Kluyveromyces lactis: one gene and its partners. The protein of the gene in region 4 interacts with the protein of the main gene of each other region in a pairwise test. Links are inferred from orthologs where the notes say so. Each region holds a gene or a part of one and is shown on either strand. Other genes may lie near its edges.

What was found.
Region 1: the proteins of ATG11 (region 4) and ATG1 interact in binary tests that used the Saccharomyces cerevisiae proteins (3 or more experiments, as listed by UniProt). The link is inferred for Kluyveromyces lactis from reciprocal best matches to the Saccharomyces cerevisiae genes ATG11 and ATG1.
Region 2: the proteins of ATG11 (region 4) and DNM1 interact in a protein complementation assay, tested with the Saccharomyces cerevisiae proteins (2 studies listed by BioGRID, with this or other methods). The link is inferred for Kluyveromyces lactis from reciprocal best matches to the Saccharomyces cerevisiae genes ATG11 and DNM1.
Region 3: the proteins of ATG11 (region 4) and VPS1 interact in a protein complementation assay, tested with the Saccharomyces cerevisiae proteins (3 studies listed by BioGRID, with this or other methods). The link is inferred for Kluyveromyces lactis from reciprocal best matches to the Saccharomyces cerevisiae genes ATG11 and VPS1.
Region 5: the proteins of ATG11 (region 4) and FIS1 interact in a protein complementation assay, tested with the Saccharomyces cerevisiae proteins (2 studies listed by BioGRID, with this or other methods). The link is inferred for Kluyveromyces lactis from reciprocal best matches to the Saccharomyces cerevisiae genes ATG11 and FIS1.

The regions. Positions count from the first base shown.
Region 1 is NC_006039.1:1,497,775-1,501,768, reverse strand, and holds ATG1 (serine/threonine protein kinase ATG1), read right to left. Parts: upstream 2,811-3,994; coding exon 315-2,810; downstream 1-314. Other genes in the region: KLLA0_C17182g (uncharacterized protein), read left to right, coding at 1-36; GTS1 (Gts1p), read right to left, coding at 3,373-3,994. UniProt on the Saccharomyces cerevisiae protein: Serine/threonine protein kinase involved in the cytoplasm to vacuole transport (Cvt) and found to be essential in autophagy, where it is required for the formation of autophagosomes.
Region 2 is NC_006042.1:1,187,051-1,191,151, forward strand, and holds DNM1 (dynamin-related GTPase DNM1), read right to left. Parts: upstream 2,804-4,101; coding exon 476-2,803; downstream 1-475. Other genes in the region: H3 histone acetyltransferase RTT109, read right to left, coding at 3,170-4,101. UniProt on the Saccharomyces cerevisiae protein: Microtubule-associated force-producing protein that participates mitochondrial fission. Fission of mitochondria occurs in many cell types and constitutes an important step in mitochondria morphology, which is balanced between fusion and fission.
Region 3 is NC_006038.1:1,164,428-1,168,308, reverse strand, and holds VPS1 (dynamin-like GTPase VPS1), read right to left. Parts: upstream 2,567-3,881; coding exon 512-2,566; downstream 1-511.
Region 4 is NC_006038.1:1,057,381-1,061,657, reverse strand, and holds the start of ATG11 (autophagy protein ATG11), read right to left. Parts: upstream 2,801-4,277; coding exon 1-2,800. Other genes in the region: peptide alpha-N-acetyltransferase MAK3, read left to right, coding at 3,265-3,801; POL30 (proliferating cell nuclear antigen), read right to left, coding at 3,888-4,277. UniProt on the Saccharomyces cerevisiae protein: Involved in cytoplasm to vacuole transport (Cvt), pexophagy, mitophagy and nucleophagy. Recruits mitochondria for their selective degradation via autophagy (mitophagy) during starvation, through its interaction with ATG32.
Region 5 is NC_006039.1:696,773-699,146, forward strand, and holds FIS1 (Fis1p), read right to left. Parts: upstream 984-2,374; coding exon 516-983; downstream 1-515. Other genes in the region: EFM4 (Efm4p), read left to right, coding at 1,314-2,012; YRB2 (Yrb2p), read right to left, coding at 2,095-2,374. UniProt on the Saccharomyces cerevisiae protein: Has a role in mitochondrial fission. Has a role in outer membrane fission but not matrix separation. Required for targeting MDV1 to the mitochondria.

The DNA of each region.
Region 1 (3,994 bases), on a different chromosome or scaffold from region 4:
AACCAAGGCTCCAATAGTACTATAGAGGTCCTTTGAGCGACATTTGAGTTATTTTGTCAAAAGTTGAAACGCTTTATATTTGCATCTCCCGTTTTGTTTCGTATTTGAAGTTTGGAAATTTTTAATTTGGTATTTAATTTATTATAATAAGTCATTCTATTCATAGATATAATCTTATTTTACTACTAAACGATATCGGTATCGTTTCAAAAAAAAAGTAGTAAGTGTTTAATGGAAAAAACCCTAATCCATATATATATAATCATTATATAAAATGTAAATTGTAAAAAACCCAATCCAAAAGATGATCAATCCTAAACCATTTTGGATTTTAGTGCCTTTAACCTATTAGCAATACTTGAAATGTATTTCTTTATCATTTCCTTATCTGATTCGTCTAAGGAGGTGATATTTGATGCATACTCGTCATCATAGACTTCGTTGAATTGAAAATTTTCGTCCAGCAAAATTTCTAACATCCATAATGAAGTAGCATAGGCTAGTTCACAAGTATTGTAATTCCCACTTTCCATTTCCATTCTTGCAGCATTTCTAGATATATCTAAAGCACGATCGTATATTAACTTTTCAACAAAAATTACAGGGTCATCATCTGACCATTGGGAATTTGGTGATGTATTAATAGCATGGAGCTTTAAACGCAAAAATTCAGCCTTGTCTAAGCATTCGTTAAAGCGATCTCTAATCCACTGCACCAAAATGTTTAGCTTCAAAGTGCAGTTTTTACTTTCATTTTCATACCACCATTTTGATGTTAATTTCATTGAAGCAGCTAAAATAGTAAGAGCTTTTAGATAAAGAAGTAAAGATTCGGTGCACAACTTTTTCAACTCGGGGGCCGGTATTTGAGTGTCAACATTGGTGGCTGATGAAATCTTTGTTGTTGCTGAGGTCAAAGTTTGATTAGAAGGTGGGCGGCCTTGATCCAAATCTTCTTCATCCTCTATCGCGCAACTTCCGTTACTTAGACGTTTATCTGACAGTGGGTCATAGTCGGTTGAAGAAGGAGGAGTTGGAAGAATTTGAGAGAATTTCATTTCAGCGAACGAATACATGACAAATGCTTTGGCCGCAAGCGATTCCACTGCAGGAGTTATGTTGGAATCCAACATTTGTTCGCTGAAAGGATTTAGTTTATGATCAGCCCTCAATACTGCATTTTCCGTTAGCTCCTGAAATATCTGAGGATTCAGTAGTGTTTGTTGAGGTGGCGAAGAAGTAGCCTTTGTATTATGTTGATATCCGAAAAGCCTTACAGAAGCTAACCCTAGTGCCTTCGATAACGCATTCGACGGGCTTAATGACGATATCGAAAGCCTTCTCTCCACTAAAGAGGCTCTTCTTCCTCCTGATGCATCGCTAGAAGAAGACGTTCTGTATCTCAAGGGTTTTATAACTTGTGCCCCTTGGTTGTTTGTTATGGGTCCATTATTAGCAAAATCATCAGCCAAAGAATTTACTTCGACAGTTTTCTTCTCCACAACAACATACTCCTTCTCCAAAATCAAATCATTGTAAGAGCTCTTTAGCCTCTTCTGACTTGCAGATTGGTAGCTTTGTTCTGGGTTTTGAGAGTTATCTTCTGGGTGGATCTGTTGATGTGGTGGATGGTTTGTTGCGAGCCTCTCTTTACCTGAGGTTCGCCTAACGCCAGTTTGTACACTAGTGTTCTCGTCAGTTTGAGTTGGTGGTATATGTGCAGATTCCTGCTGCTTTAATGGTTTGACTAGATATTCTGAAACAAACATATTACTTTCAGCGACATCTTTACTCTTGGATTCTAAGTCTGGCTCATACGATTGCTCGTACCTTGTCAAATCTTCTGTCACTACTTCGTTATTGAAAAAATCAGTGAACCCCATACGGGAATCCGGGTCAAAAGTTAGCAACCCTCTTATTAGATTGAACAGTTTCGGTTCAATATAGCAATTTGAGGGCACTGTAATCTCATCGTTGGCCTTTTTAATCTTTTGAAACAACTCGAGATGGTTTGATGCTTTAAAAGGCGGTCTCCCGCAACACATTTCGTATAGCACCGTTCCTACTGACCAAAGATCAGCCTTGGCATTGTATTTTTGATAGTTTAATATTTCTGGAGCCATGTACAATGGTGACCCGCATAAAGTTTCTGCTAGAGAAGTATTAGGCAAGAATCTAGCGAACCCAAAATCCGCGATTTTCAAGATGGGTAAATTGTAGATTCCCACAAACCCCAACTCATGAAACGTCTTCGGATCATTATAATCTAATAACGGTGTGCATAACAATAAATTCTGTGGCTTGATATCTCTGTGTACTAGATTCTTAGATCGCAAAAACTTAAGCGCAGAGGATAGTTGTTGTAAATAGTTTACCACAAGAACCCGATTTAATCCATTATGTTCCGTACTTGGTGGCGGGTAATGTTCAAAAACAGTCTTTATCAAAGGATGCTTGAGCACTAGGTTCTTCCTCTTCTTTATGAAAAACGTTAAATCACCTAGTGCACAGTATTCCATGATCAAATAGAAATCAGATGAAGTCCGCTCACAATCTATTAACCCCACAATATGCGGATGTTTGATCTTCTTTAAAATGGCAATTTCGACCTCCAAATTCTCCAAAAGCTTCTTGTTCTTTAGCTTCGACCTCGACACGGCCTTGATAGCTATGTTTCTCCCATCTCTTAACGATAGACCTTTGTAAACAACCGCGAATGAACCCTTACCGATCTCCTTCTCCACGGAATAGTTTTCTGTCGGCAAACGAATGGCTTTCGCCACAACTTTGTCGTGCGATTCTGAACTCATGCTCAACCGCTTTCCATATGACTACTCAGTGCCAGACCGTTGTCATTCTTTGGCCTCTTTCTTTACAAGGGGGGGCGTTCTTATTTCTTATAAATGGTTTTTAAGGATCAAAACTTAGTTTGTAATAAGTCATTTTGAACTTTATATAGAAATAAAGAAACAAAGAAGGAAAGACAGATATATCGCAGAAAACGTACACAGTAAAGGCAGTGGAAAGACACTGGTGCTTGGTGGAACGGTTTTAAGAAAACGCTCGTTAAGTGCAAATAAGATATGATTGGTTATGAGTCAATGGGAGGTTTTTTTTTTGATGGTCAGTAAGATAATAGTGGTGATAGCTAGGTAGTAAGTAGATCGTGGATGTTCCGGATAAGAGTGTATAGCAGACGTTGTGAAACGTCAGAGGAGGAAGACAAAGTTAGATATTAGTTGTAGCGGTGTTTTGGTTTTAGCCATATTTACGTATTATATAGGCAAACATAGGTATGAGAGATTAAACCGTAGTGCGGTAGCAGATGTGCAGTTGCAGCTGCAGCTGCAAAGAAGGCCAAGGGATGATGATCTATTGGAATGGGGGGTAGAATTGTTGTTGGTACTGTTGTGGTTGTTGGTATTGCATTTGTTGTAACTGTTGTTGCTGCAGGAGCTGTTGCTGTTGCTGCTGTTGTAGCTGCTGTTGTTGTAGCAGTTGCTGTTGCTGCTGTTGTTGGTCCTGCTGTTGTTTTTGGAGATTCAGGATCTGTTGGTATTGTGGATTATCCGGTTTGATTTCTACGGCACTAGAATATAAATCTGGTCTTTGATACAGTGATAATAGTGTGTTCTTATCTATCGATGGTTGAGCAGTGAATTGAGGCTGTACCTGTTGGGTGAACTGAGGTTGTAATTGCTGTGTGAATTGGGGTTGCACTTGTTGTGTAAACTGAGGTTGAACCTGTTGTGTAAACTGAGGTTGAACTTGTTGTGCCAATGCTTGTACCTGGGCCTGCTGCATTGCCGCATAGGAGTTTTGATCTACATAAATTTGGCCGGTAGTTGGATCATAGTATTGTTGTACCCCATCGAATACTGCTGGGCGAGGTTCTGCCGATGCTGTACTAGGTAGGCTTGGTTCACTTGTTCCATCGAAAACGGCTTCTTGCACTTTGTTGTCCGGCCTTTTTGGAAGCGGAGGTCTGTCTCCT
Region 2 (4,101 bases), on a different chromosome or scaffold from region 4:
ATAATTTTTATATTTAATTTTTAAAATAACTTTATAATTATCATATTTTAATTATATATATTAATTTTTGTTAACTCTAGGTTATTTATAAAATAGAATATTTTTGATTACTACTCTAAAATTTAAATATTAAAGATGTTTTATTGTTCCGAAAATAAAAATATTAATGAAATATTTTGGAAATTTAATAATATTTTTCTGCTTGATTATATTGATGTTTTTGATAAAGGCGTTTCTATGAATCTGGCGTTTATAAGGTACATATTGTTTTCTATGATAGAAAGAGCATCCCTTCCACATCTGAGGTTAAATTCTGACCATTTGGATAATCCAACATCAGTAAATTAGCTTCACGGATAAACGTTAATGCTTTGCATATTCAATACTGTTTTTTTTTTTCTGTATACAAAATATTATCTTCATTTCTATTTACATTTTGAACTTAATAAAATAAAACTTAGGATCCTATCTAGGACTATAGAATGTCTCCGATAATACCTGATGCTTTTTGATAAGTTTCCAAAAGGTTGACGCATTTTTCGCGGTCCTGTGCTAAAGTCTGATCTTCCATCAAGAGTTCATCGAAGAGTGACTCTTTGTAAAGCTTTGTGACTAGTCTATTTTGGACAGATTCTTTTGAATAGTTTACTAGCAAGCACATTACAGCCTTTGGGACCTGATCTTCGATCATCTCTCTAACAATGGAAAAGTATGAGACGATCAATCTTCTAATTAATTCACATTCCAACTCTTCACGTTCGGTAAATTCGGTAGCAGCTTCAGATTTGGTATGGGCATCTGCGCTCTTGTCTTTAAAATCTTGAATTTGCAAATTTTCGATGTCATAAGAATTATCAGAGCCGTTATAATCAATTCTCGAAGAAAGCTTTGTATTGGAACTCTTTTGTTCTTTGCCGAAGAAATAATTCAAGAAGGAATCCTTTGATTGCTTCATATCATTTTCTTCTTCAGAGTCGTGCTCGCTGGTTGCTGTGGAATCAGAATCAAGCTTCAAATCTTGTTCTGTCTCATCTACTGAATCGGATTTCTTCATTTCACGTTCAGCTTGTTGTTGCTCTAACAGTAGCTGCTTCTCATATTCCCTCTGTTTCTGAAGTCTTTCCGTTTGCTTTTTGTTCTTTCTAGCTTCAACAATCTCGGCCATGGCCTCTGTAGCACTTGGGAAATTTGGATGATTTGTGTTAATGTACGCTTTATGAATATCAATCAAACTTTCGACGTAAGAACGAGTTGGTCCCAATCTTTCCCTCAACAGTTCACTGACAACCTCGACTAGCTTACTTTGTAGTTTTGGATATCTTGCTAGCTCAGGAGAGCCACAGTTGTGACATATCTTCATCAATTCTTCATACACCAATTCTACGCAACGTTGAGATGGATCTAGAAGTAATCTGATTTGTGGTTTAACCAATAGATCGAATGCTAATTCTGGAACAAACAATGAAGGTCTTGGCCCAGTTGAGTTTCTTATAGCTGTTCTGATGTCCGTCATTGATAAGTTAGAAGTAGGGTTGATGAAGTTTAGAGATTTCCCGAATAGAGTGTTATAGATGTAATAGATTCTGGCACCACCACAAAGTTCTTTAGTGCTTATTTCCGAGGAAGTACCATCGATGGAAGAAATGAATTTAGTAGCAAATTTATTCATCAATTGCAAAACAAGGCCAGCTCTATTTTCTTTCGTGATAACTTTATCGTCACCATATGTAGCCAATTCTTGTTCGGTTTGTCCGATGAGGGTATTTAATCTGGCTTTGATATCTGGCAATTTATCTCTAATGTGATTCATCAAGACTTGGTTCAATAATTTAGCCAAGTATCTGGTTCCGCATCTAGTTGAAATAGTTCTGTAAACAGGATGTTTTGCAAAGAATTGTTCTTCTGAGTTCAAAGCTTCTTCAACACTTTTGTTTTGTTGGATGTCTTGCTGGGATCTGTTCACCACACCGACAAATCCTAGCTTCAAAGGATACAACTTCCCTGACAAAATATCCAAAGCATTAGTGCCTTGGTCCATAAGATCCAATTTAGTAATAACACCAATAGTTCTTTTCCCATGGGGATCTATCTCTCTGGCCAATTTCAAAGATTCTGAATTAACGAGATCGACATTAGCAGGGGAGATGGCCAAGATGATACAGTTTGGCTTGGCAACATATTCCAAGATCAAATTCTCGATTTGTCTTTCAATATCCGGTGGCTGTTCCCCAATCGGAACCTTAGTGATACCTGGTAGATCCACTAAAGTCAAGTTCAAAACATGCGGAGAATATATTTTCAAGTTGATTGGAATTCTGCTTATTCCCTTCTCTTTCCCTGCAATCCTAGCAGTTTCGTTTTCAATTTCCCTTCTAATTTCAGAAAAGTCGTAGAATCTACGACCTGGAATATGTAAAAACTCACCCCATTCATTCTTTATTTCAGGCTTATAGTTTGAATTCTTTCTCAAATGATCTTCCAAGGTCATTTCCTTCTCCGTGCGGGCATCTGGCTCGTCATTAACCTGTTCAAGTGACGTAGATGAAGAATTGTCATAATTATAAACCAATGGAGAATTCGGATCAATATTATTCAACTGAAGAACTAGAGGACGTCTGGTAACAATACCAGTACCACGAGGTAAGAAATCTCTCCCGACCAACGTTTCCAAGATCGAAGACTTACCAGAAGATTGCGATCCAATAACAGCTAAAACCGGTAGATCCAAACTGTCAATGCCTGCATCGTACATAACATCCTGTAGCTTATTCACCGTAGGAATCAAATCTTCTAGACTTGACATCTTCAGAGTTACTTGTGTACTATACTCCGACCTAATTAACCGTTCTAATAGACTAGTTTAAGGTTAACAGGATCGCATCTAATATCTAACCAATCAAAGATACACTCAAACGCAATATTTAACCATTTCATTGGATCAAATTTCAAATAATTATTCTCAATGCAATAGGTATTTTTTATTATTTATTTATTTATTTTTATTTTTATTTTTATTTTTATTTTTATTTTTATTTGATTTAATTTGTTACATTTTTATTCTCTGTTTGATTTCTGCTGAAAATTGACTTCCAATATAGAGATCCGCTGTGATGTACGCGCAAATTGTCCTGAATCCATTATGTAGTATATATATATCAGCACCGTCACACTACGATTTAGGTTTCCTATGGACACTTAGAGTGTTTATTACGTTAATAGTGTTTATTTCAGGCCGTTTTGTAGTAGCGATCTTGTGGTGGTTTCCAATAACTTTTATCATCTTCGTGGAGTAATGCATGTCAAAAATATCTCGAATGTTCATGTATGCTTCTTCAGCACCTTCTTCAGTGTCATATTCTTCTCCAGTTATGTAGTTCTTCAGATTTTTAAAGTTCTTCTTCGAGGTTGGTATAATTATATCAGTCCGTTCTGGTTCATTGCAACGGCCGATGTATTTTCCTGACACTCCAATGACAGACACAGTTGATCCCAGTCTGAACTCTTGCCTTGCTTGCAATTCTGTCCAGAATGTTAACACATTGACTTTAGAAATTCGTCCATCACTGATCAGATGGTCAAGGAATCTGCCCTTGGGGTCATCAGGGAATAATGGTATCCTGTATAATGCAATGTCTTGCGGACTTTCAGAGAAAATGTCTCCTACGGTCCAATTTTGATATGCTGTGTTTCTCAAATAGTTGGAAATTACTCTTTTCTCTTCTCCCGGTATTTGTAAGGTTGCCTTTGTTTTATTATCGAAATCTTCGACAACTATTTGGTCTACAATCTTTAACCACCATTTGAGCAATTTGTCACCACTTAGGACGTGTTTCCTTGGGTTTTTAGATGAGTTTGAAAACAAATACTGCGGCTCTGCCCTGGTAAAAAGACTTACCTTTGTGACAATTTCCGTCGGAACCGGGAATGAAACGTATAAATCTTGGTCTGGGATTTTAACCCTTGAAGTTATCCCCTTCGAATCCAACGGTCTGTTGGATAATATTTCTAACGCTCTCTGTACTGATGTACTTCTCTTTATAATCTTTGCACCGCTCAGTGCTTTCCTTATCAGCGGTTTTACCGCCCGCAAATAATGTCCTG
Region 3 (3,881 bases), about 110 kb from region 4:
TAAACGTGTAAAAAAAGTGAGAACATTTATCATAAATTGGAATAGTTCACTGTCGATAAAATTCAATATTAGAGATCATAACAGCATCCTGCAATCTATTAGTTAAGAGGCTTATCATCTATTTCCTGGTTGAAAATGTTTAAAGATTTGATGAGTCTTCGTAATTTTCATTCAAATAACTGTGAATCACTGTGAATCAAGACAATATACATTGAGCGTTAGCATGGCCAATATTTGTCACCAAAAAATTACTAGCTTTAGGAAAATAGGATTTGAAAATGTTACATGCCAATACAGAATAATAGCTAAGTTAATAGAACGAAACATACATTTAATTCGGAAGCAAGATAACGATGACAAAAAAAAAATTAATAATTCTGATATTCTTTATCAATGATATATATCACTATTTATTTCACTAATCTATAGGCAGAGCAGCCAGAGAAAAAAAAAAGAGGAAATGAAATGGAGGGAAAAACAGTTTCAATTTATAAATACAAGCACTTAATATTCAAACGGATGAAACAATCTCACTAGCATGAGTTAGAATATTGACCATCTTTTGACATTCTTTCCTTCTTTGGGTAGTCAAATCACTTTCCTTCGTTAGCTCGTCAAGATTTTCGCTGCTGTATAATTTCTCAAGTAGAATCTTTTGAATGTCATTTTTACTCTTAACGATTAATTTTAGCATAACAGCCTTTGGAATGAAGTCTGCCACGGATCTCTTGACGATGCTGAAATAGCTGTCGATAAGTAATTTAATAACTTCCGTTTCAAGTTTTTCCCTTTCAGTCATTTGACCAGTGGCTTCTAAAACATTTGGTGGATTTTCCAAAACAGAAGCTCTAGTCTTACTCTTCGATGAGAAGAAACCACCAAAGAAACCAGATGGTCTAGTTTCTTCGGCTTTTACAGGTTGAGCAGCAATCGGTTTACCGGTCTTTGGATCCACTTGGCGTGGATGTAGTCTTTCTTCAACCATAGCCATTGCTTGAGAGCCCTTTAATAGGTCTGGATGAGCTGTATTGATATAAGTTTGTTCAGATTTTATGATGTCGACGACAAAGTCATTAGTTGGAATGACCGCCTCTTTCAGGAATTGAACGAAGTTATTCGAGATAGCATCTCTTAGGCTTGGGTATCTGCTGTATTTTGGTTGGTTGATAATCTGCTTTAGTATACGGACCAATTCATCGAAAACTAAGTTGACCAAACGTAAAGAAGGTTGTTCGAACCTACTAATTTGCTTCTTCACCAAGACTTCAAATGCTTCGGTACCCACAAACAAAGAAGGCGCTGAACCAGAACAATTGTACATAATAGTTCTGATATCGGAGTCCTTAATTTGATCGAATGGATCCAAGGCGTAAACACCATTCTTGAAGATTTCATGGAACACAAACGAGACTCTAGCACCACCTGATAGTTCTTTACTTGTAAGCTCCCTTGCTTCACCATCCAATATACCTGTGTATTCCTTTGAGAAGTCTGTGATCATGCTTAGCACGATGGAACTGGAAGATGATAGGGATTCTGGACCCAAACTTAACAATTCAGTTTGATATTTCTTCAAAGTGACCTCAATCTTATGTTTAATATCTGGCAACGTTTGTCTGATGTGATGCAATAGAATAGAATTTAACTTCTTAGTTAAATATGGGGTACCACAGTACAGTGCTCTTGCACTGTACGATGGATGGTTCTCAAAGAAACGTTTTTCGTCCTCTAACGCAGATCTAATTGTTTTATTCTTTTCGATATCTTTTTGACCTCTATTGATTACTGGGATATAACCAAATTTCAATGGGATAACTCTTCCGGCCAAAATATCGATGACATCTGTACCTTCATCCATCAAATCGACTTTAGTTAACACACCGATGGTTCTTGATCCATCGGGATCGACTTCCCTGGCCAATTTCAAACCATCACTGTTAGCCAAATCAGCATTAGCTGGGTTCACTGCCAAGATAATAGCGTTAGGTTTCTTGATGTAAGTCAAGATCATATCCTTGATTTGTCTTTCGATATCAGCTGGTTGATCACCAACAGGGACCTTGGTCAAACCGGGCAAATCGACCAAGGTTAAAGTTAGCACATGTGGCGAATATACTCTTAAAGTGATTGGAACCGCAGAAATCCCTGCATTCTTCCCGGTACTCTTATCGGTCTCCAAAACGATCTCTTTTCTAATTTCGTTAAAGTTGAAAAGCTTTTTACCGGGCAAATGACCAAACTCACCCCATTCTTCTGCATTGTCTTCATTTTGACCACCATTGGCTGCACTGTTATCCAAATCTAACAGCTCTTCTGTAGCATGCTTAGTCTCCTTCTTGACCCTACGGTTGATCAATTGTAAGATCAATGGTCTTCTGGTAACAATACCGGTACCACGAGGCAAGAAATCTCTACCGACAATGTTTTCCAACACAGAAGATTTACCAGAACTTTGAGAACCAACAACGGTAATTTGTGGTAAATCAATCGGAGTCTGAGAACCGCCGCCTAATGGAGCCAAAGCATCCTGTAACTTATTGATCGTAGCAATCAAACGTTCATCCATGTTGCCAGTTTATTTACTCACAGTATTGGGCTTGATCTCAATTACAATTACAAATTGAGAATTCAAAATATATCTCTGACCTAACCGATTAACTTTGGATGTAGTAAAGGTATATATAAAAATAAATCTCTCTAGATATTTGGAATATCTCTCTCGAGTTGACTAGAATTGATTTTGATTTGATGTTTTTCTTGTTTTTCCCCTTTTTCGCCACCAAAAGTTAGAAAAAACCAAGTATTACCCGGAAATGGTTAGATCTGCCAATCTAACTGGATCCAGATCGTATCCAATAGATAGCACAGTCAGTGAGCCTATTTAGCCAGTAGCCTCTTATTCAAATTAACGGGGAGAAGAGTTTCCAAACGAACTACAAGGGCCCATATAAAGGCCGACTTTCACTGTCAATGGGATAGTTTTCTTGTTTTTTTCGGATGCCGTTACAGATCTACACACGAAATACAAAGGTTTTGTAATCATCAAATATCTTGATTCTTCCATATCTGGATTTTCGTTTATATATATGCATATACTTCCAATTGAATTATTGTTGGATAAGATTTACAGGAAATTGAACATACAATTTGCAAATTCAAGCTCGCTCATTCTTATGATTGGGGTCTTTCACGTAATTATTGATTTTTCCTGGGTCTTGAAATCGATTTTGAATTTTTCTGGCTTTAAAAATTTAGTACAAAATGAAATAATATAACAAAGTGTGAACTTTTGAACTTACTATACCTTTTATTTGGTTTGAGTGTGTGAACAGGAGAAGCTAAAGTTAAAACCAACACTACATATCCCTTTGGTCCAAACTTGCCAGTACCTTCAAATTGAACTTCTTAATTCTTTCATTCGCTGGACACTCCTGAGACAGAATTGGTAAAGGAAAGAAATAAAGGGAAACGGAATTCTCAGACAATACAATATTAACTGGCTGATTTTTTTGTCTACACACATATACACACAGTCTCTCTCTATCTGAATATAACTGGATAGTTTGTGCTAGTTACGTTTTTAGTTCAAATTAGTGACGAGCACATCTTTTGATATTGGTCACCTGTTACCAACAACAACAACAACAAAAGAAGTTAGTGTCAGACTCACAAATACTGAAAAAAGCCTTTGCATTGGAACTTTGGTGTATTAACTCTCGGAGATTATACACATCCGACACTTATTTGATTATCCTCATCACGAATTAACTTGTGAGGAGTACTTTTGACGGTTCTTTCTGATCTAGGAAGACGTAGCAAGTCAAAACTCATTCAGGTTGTCGACTTCAGTACAAGACGCACAGGTTTTCAAGGACACTTAC
Region 4 (4,277 bases):
TAAGAATGCTAGCTGCAATATCAGACTTGACAACATTTGGACGTTGCATAACAGACTGTGTAGATGAGTTTAAATCAATGGATGAAAATGAAGAATTTAGCGACGATATTGAAGAATTTAATAGCAATTCCTGATCGTTGATTGGTAAAAAAAGAGCAAGATCTCCCGGTTGGAAGTTATATATTGTAATTTTGTCTCTAGCACTTTTCTGCAAAAGGAGTTTTTTATTCTTGTTCTCTTTCCTAAGCTTTTTCGCCAAACTTTCGATATCATTGAACCTGCGGATCACTGACGTTTCGAACAATTGGTTACCAAATAGTTTTTCTATGTAGGTAATGAAATTTTCATGAGGTTTGTAGTCAATCTGATCCTTTATAGATTCGAAAGTACTCTTTATTTCTTGTGCAATTACACTTTTTGCCATGGAACTATTCATATCAGCCAAACTTGAATCCAGATCTTTTCTTAAACCTTTGACGCGAACAATTTGAAAGTTTCCATCTTGATCTTTGGAAAGTAACAACCCGATACTCGCCAAAATGAAAATACTACCTTGGAAAACATCATATAAAGTTTTTTCCAATTGCTTATTAAAGTTGATAAACTCTGCATCAATTGTTTTGCTTTTTGATATTTGCAATTGGTTAAGATCTTTTTTAAGACTTTCAACTTCTTCTTGCAAGGAAGCCCGTTCCTGTTCTGCTTGAACTTCTTGGGTTGCCATATTGACAAGAAGATCTTCTTTCATTTTGTTTAAATCCTCGGATTTCCGTCGGGATTCTTCAGATTCCCTTACAAGTTCCTCATTTTGCTCAAAGAGGGATCCTAAATGCTTCTTGAAATTCTCCGAACGAGAATTCATTTCAGAATAGAAGTTTTCGCGTTCAATCAACAACGTTGATAATTCTTTGTTTAAATTTGTCATGGATTCTCTGTAAGCATTTTTCTCGACCTCCATATGGGAAAGTTGACTTTTAAGTGTTGAAAGTTCAGTTTCAAGGGTCTTGGTTAATTCAGAGTATTTGCTTATATCCTTTTGCAGGTTTTGAAATTCCTCGAAGGTTTTATTTGATTCGTGTTGTTGTTTGGAACTTGGGAGATCGAATGTTGAACTTTGCTGTAACTTTGTGCTCACGGTACTATTGCGGAACATTTGGACCATTGCAGTTTCCTTATTCAGAATGCCAGCTGGCCATGAGTCGTACTGATGGAACTGTGCATCAAGTAATAAATGTTCTAGCTTTTTGATACGAGCCTTGTATCCTTCAATGATAAGCTCCGAGTCCTTCGAGAGCGCGTAATCTGTAGGTAAATGCAAGCCTGTCAGCTCCGCCTGCGAGACTTTTGACTTAAGTAAATTAATTGTAGGTTCACCTAAGTTCAATGAAGCAAGTTGATTAATATAATCTTTAATCTGAGACAATGTCACCTGTTTATGATCACTTATGGACGGAATGTATACTGATGATGGTAGCAAACTATCAACATCTAGAAATCGAGTTATCCATTGGAAATCTTTGTACCAAGAGTTTCTTTGTCGTACTTCGTCATCCAAAAGATGCTGCAATGAAGATTCATGTTGTTGTCGAAGTTGAGAGTAACGGTCTGTCCAGAGCTGCTCTCTGTATAACTCAATCAAATACAATCCATAACACATAGGCAAATCCAATACTTGAGATAATTTCAGTTCTTCATTCTTCAAAAACTTCATATTGGTCTTAACGTCTTTAGTTAACACCGACTTCACCATTATTACGCTCATCTGCGATTTTGCAACGGAAAGGTACAACTGTTGCAACTTCTGCTGGACAGTAGCTTTTGTATCTAAATTCGTGGAAGCTTTATTGAACATTGCTTGCGAAATTGTTTGTAATTTGGGGACATGTACACTTTTGAATGTTTCAAACTTCTCTTTTGAAGCATCTTTAGAAGCCTCTTCTTTATATTGATTTGATACAAGCTCAATCTCTGTAGCCATTTCTTTAAATCGTTCAACCATTTGGTTGTCCATATCATCAGAACTGACAACTGAATTTTTTTTCACATCATCTAAATCTGAGATTAACTGTGTTCTCTGCTGGTAGCATTCATCAATACTTTTCTTTAACTCCTTTAACTTCGCATTTAGTTCACGATCCAGACGGTGAATGGAATCCTCGATCTCTGTTAGCTCGCTATAATTGAAAAATGATGATAATAACTGATTAGAAACTTTAATATTGCCGAGAATATTATCATAAAAGGAATGCCATTGATTTGAGGCACCATCTTCGTGAAGCTTGTTAAGAAAATCAACGTTGCCATTATACAGCACCTCCACTTCATAGCAGTAGTTTTTCAAATACTCAAGCATAACAGTACCACACTCTAATAACCGTTGAACGTCTTGATAAGTTTCTTTTATAACGTCCTGGAAAAATTCAACGTCTGATTGCAAAGCCTTCAACCACCCTAAATTCCGTAGAATGACATTTTTATCCAACTGTAACGAATCGCTTATCGGCGATGGCAAAGGTTTGAAAAGTTGGAACCTTGGCTTTGGGGAAAACTCGATCTCCTCATTGAATATTCCACGGTCAAATACGTATATTTCTTCCAATCCTTCTTGTTGCAGCTTTCTGGAATCCCATCCTGCTTTCTTCAATATCATTCCATAAGGTAACAATAGAAGTATGTCATCGAGCGGTATCTGGAAAGTATCACTTGCAAACTGTTTCAAATCTAAGAAACTAGGGAAATAAACATTAGATAATTGGTGTGAAACTCCTGATGTAGCACATATCAACTTGCATGGCGGCATTATTAATAAAATTATCAGATTGTAACCTTAAGACTTTGGAAAGAAATAAAGGGACAATGTCGATTTAATGATGATGAAATGGGGGGTGTTAGCTCACAGGATTCTATATCATGAGTATTCTTTAAATGCTGAGATATATCTAATCTGGAGTACTAAAGCCGTAAGCAACAAGTGGAATAAGAGCCGATAAACGTCAGGGGACTGAAAAACTATGTAACAGGTTTTCTCACCTATAAAACTTACCGGGGGGTCCATATAATCTTTTTTCGAATCAGTTTGGTGAAGCAAGAGCACGTGACTGATATGCTTTTATTATAAAAATTTGGTTTTAAACCTCCAGATGATGAGATAAACAGTTTTAAGTAAAGCTTTTTATATTCGCTAGCTTCGGCAGCATCTACTCTCATTGATATAACTAATTAAAAATTAATAAGAAAGTATACTGCAGATAAACTAAGCAAAGGATGGTCGAAATAAGGTACACACGATTCGATATCAGTAATGACATGGAGTTTTCCACCATCAAGAAATTGATCGATGAGGATCTCAGTGAGCCATATTCGATATACGTGTACAGATTTTTCCTAAACCAATGGCCGAACCTAACGTATTTGGCATGGGCAGAAGGATCGGGTAAGCCCATAGGATGTATAGTATGCAAGAGCGATACTCATAATGGAGTGCGGTTAAGAGGATACATTGGCATGTTAGCAGTGGAGAAACAATATAGAGGCCGTGGGATAGCGAAAAAACTAATTACCTTAGCTATAGATACTATGATTGATGAAAAATGTGACGAGATTATGTTGGAGACTGAATGCAGCAATGCAGCTGCTTTGCATTTATACGAGAATATGGGCTTCATCAGAATGAAGAGATTATTCCGGTATTATTTGAACCAGGGAGATGCGTTTAAACTCATTTTACCGATTACAGAGAAAAGTTGTGTGAGAAGCACATTCCTGGGGATGGATTCCTTTCCTACCGACACCATACTCTAAAGTAAATTGAATTGATTTTATATCAGTAATTGTCATTTTAATACACACACAATATATATATATATATAGCATTGCGAAAAGAGATTTCATTCCTCTTCATCGAACTTTGGAGCCAAATAGAATTGCAAATTACCGCTTGAGATATCGAATTGGAAAAGGGCTGGCGCTTCTTCCGATAATTTTATAGTGATTGTATCTGATAGAGAGGACCCCTTAATGATGTCGTTTAAATATTTAGCACCGAACCTTAAATCTACTGGTTTTTCTATGGTAACTTTAATTGAACTTTCAGGATGATCCAAATCGGTGAAAGGTTTCACAACAATGGACCCACTTCCGATATCACCTTCTGCGGCGAATTTGATGGTATCCTTAGTGACTAAGATGTTAATAGAATCACTCAATTGACTTAAGTCACGTACGGTCTTCGCGAAATCAGCAGATGGCATTGTAATATAGGATTCATATTTCATATC
Region 5 (2,374 bases), on a different chromosome or scaffold from region 4:
GTGTGTGAATTGCGGCAAACTGGACAGAATTAGACTCGGTTGTTGTTGTTTGTTACTATTTAATGGAAGACTACGTGATACCGCCAGTTAGTAAGGAGGAGAGACCATCATACTGATTTGGTAATCTGGAAATTTCCTATGGTCACGTGATACGATACCAATGCCTTTACCCAAGGCGAAGGCGAAGGCCACTAGAACTGTGGGGCAGTACTTGGTCCAATGGAAACAATTCTTCCTATGTATCCATCATTACTAGCAATTGTAACAGAAACATTTCACTTCTTCGTTGTTCTCACTTTTGTAACTACATTTCATCTTTTAATGTAAACTTTGTGATGCAATTCATGAATTGAAGATTCACAAGTTCGAATATATTTTGATCATTAGCAGATTATTTCATTAGATTGATAGGGACATACATATAACATTATTTACAAGCGAGTAATATGGGTGACAGGATATTCCCTGGAGATTATATTTCTATTCTTGAGAATGTAGTGGAGGAAAGAAATTTGTTAGCGCCTTCTGCCTCTGATAAGGAGGCCGATGGTGGTTGCGCCGATGGCGATTCCTGCACTGATCAAGGCAATCCCTTTTAATCCCTGAGAAGTGATCTTGTTTTCTACAGCGGTTTGTAGCATCAATGCTTGTTTGTTTTCAGGTTCATGATGCACTAGTGCATCCACGTACCGCTTTGCAGTAGAGTATTCGCCGAGTTTGTAACATCCGATGGTCAAATAGTATAAGCACTCTCTTCTTCTCATTGGAGATTCTTTGTATATGTCCGTCAATAACTTAACACCCAACATCTGATCTTCCTTATTCGTCGATCTGACGAGACCCCAGGCGTAATTGAAGCGTGATTGAATAGATGATATTTCGCCCCCTTCATTGAGCACCTGTTGCCTTAAAATTTCGATTTGATCGCTGTTTAATGCAGAATATGAATCCTCCAATTCAGGAAGGTAGTGGATGTTAGTCATACCGCAGTATTTTTTTGAGCTTGTGCGAGTGATTTCAAGATAAAGAAATAACTGCTACCTTCGATCGTTTCAGATGTTGTTAATGATATTGTTTCAAATTCAATGTCAAATTATCAGTTTTAACTTTTCAATTTATTTTTCTTACGTCCGCTAGACATCTCGAAAACGTTTTGATTATATACAAATATATACAGAAAGTCATCTCTGAGAATTGGTACAGAGGCATCGCAATAAGATCAGCAATTGAAGTTCCGTTCCAAATATCAACACTGATAATTGCGGTAATTTATCCGTTGGTTCATTTTTGTCCAGAAAACTTACACTAGAAACATGGAAGATACAACAAAATTGAATACTTCTAAGTTGGGAACTAAGGAATACTGGGACGATTTCTACTCATTAGAGAAACAAAACTTCGAGGAGAACCCTGAGGATACTGGAGAATGCTGGTTCGCTGATAACGATGCAGAGGAGAAAATGGTCGAATTTCTACTAGATAACTTGGGCGAATACAATATCAAAGAAGACAGCTCAATGATTGATCTCGGAACTGGAAATGGTCATCTTTTGTTCACTCTATTGGAGGAAGGTTTCAAAGGTGAAATGATCGGTGTAGATTACTCTGAAAAATCAGTCGAGTTTGCTGCTGAGATTCTCAAGACTAAATACAGCCAAAATGATAACGTAACTTTTGCTACGGCAGATATATTCAATGAACAATGGGCCCCAGGTAAATTCGATGTCGTTCTAGATAAAGGTACACTAGATGCCATCGCATTAAGCGGTATAAAATTTGAAAACAATGAAACCGTGGTAGATGTCTATCCGAAAGTGATAGAGAAGATATTAGGCGAAAACAGTATTCTGTTGATTACATCATGCAATTTTACAGAAGAGGAACTCATAAAGATTATTGAAACAGAGACGTTGAAAAAATGGAAATCGGTAAACTATCCAATATTTGAGTTCGGTGGTGTCAAAGGAACTACAATATGCAGCGTTGCCTTTCTCAAATCTTCTGCTAAATAATCTTAATTAAGGTATTATTCAAAAGGTTTTAAGTAGTGTCAATTTTACAAAGTCTGTTTGAATCAGAAGTAATATGTCCAATTCAATTCTCCAGGATATGAGCATTTACTTTCTCATATAACTCATCTGCTATTTCAGCTTTTCCTGTCCTTAAGGCATACTGGACAGGATTCTTGTTCTCATCAACTGCTAATATTCTGACGAACTTTTCTCCGTTCAGAGAACCTGGGAACCCTTTTTTAATAGAAAATCCTTTTACAAGCGGTAGATTCAATATTACTTTCAATAACCCACGGGATCTCATTACTATTCTCGACTTTTCTGAAACTTCATCTTTATTTAAATGTAGAACACCAATTCCT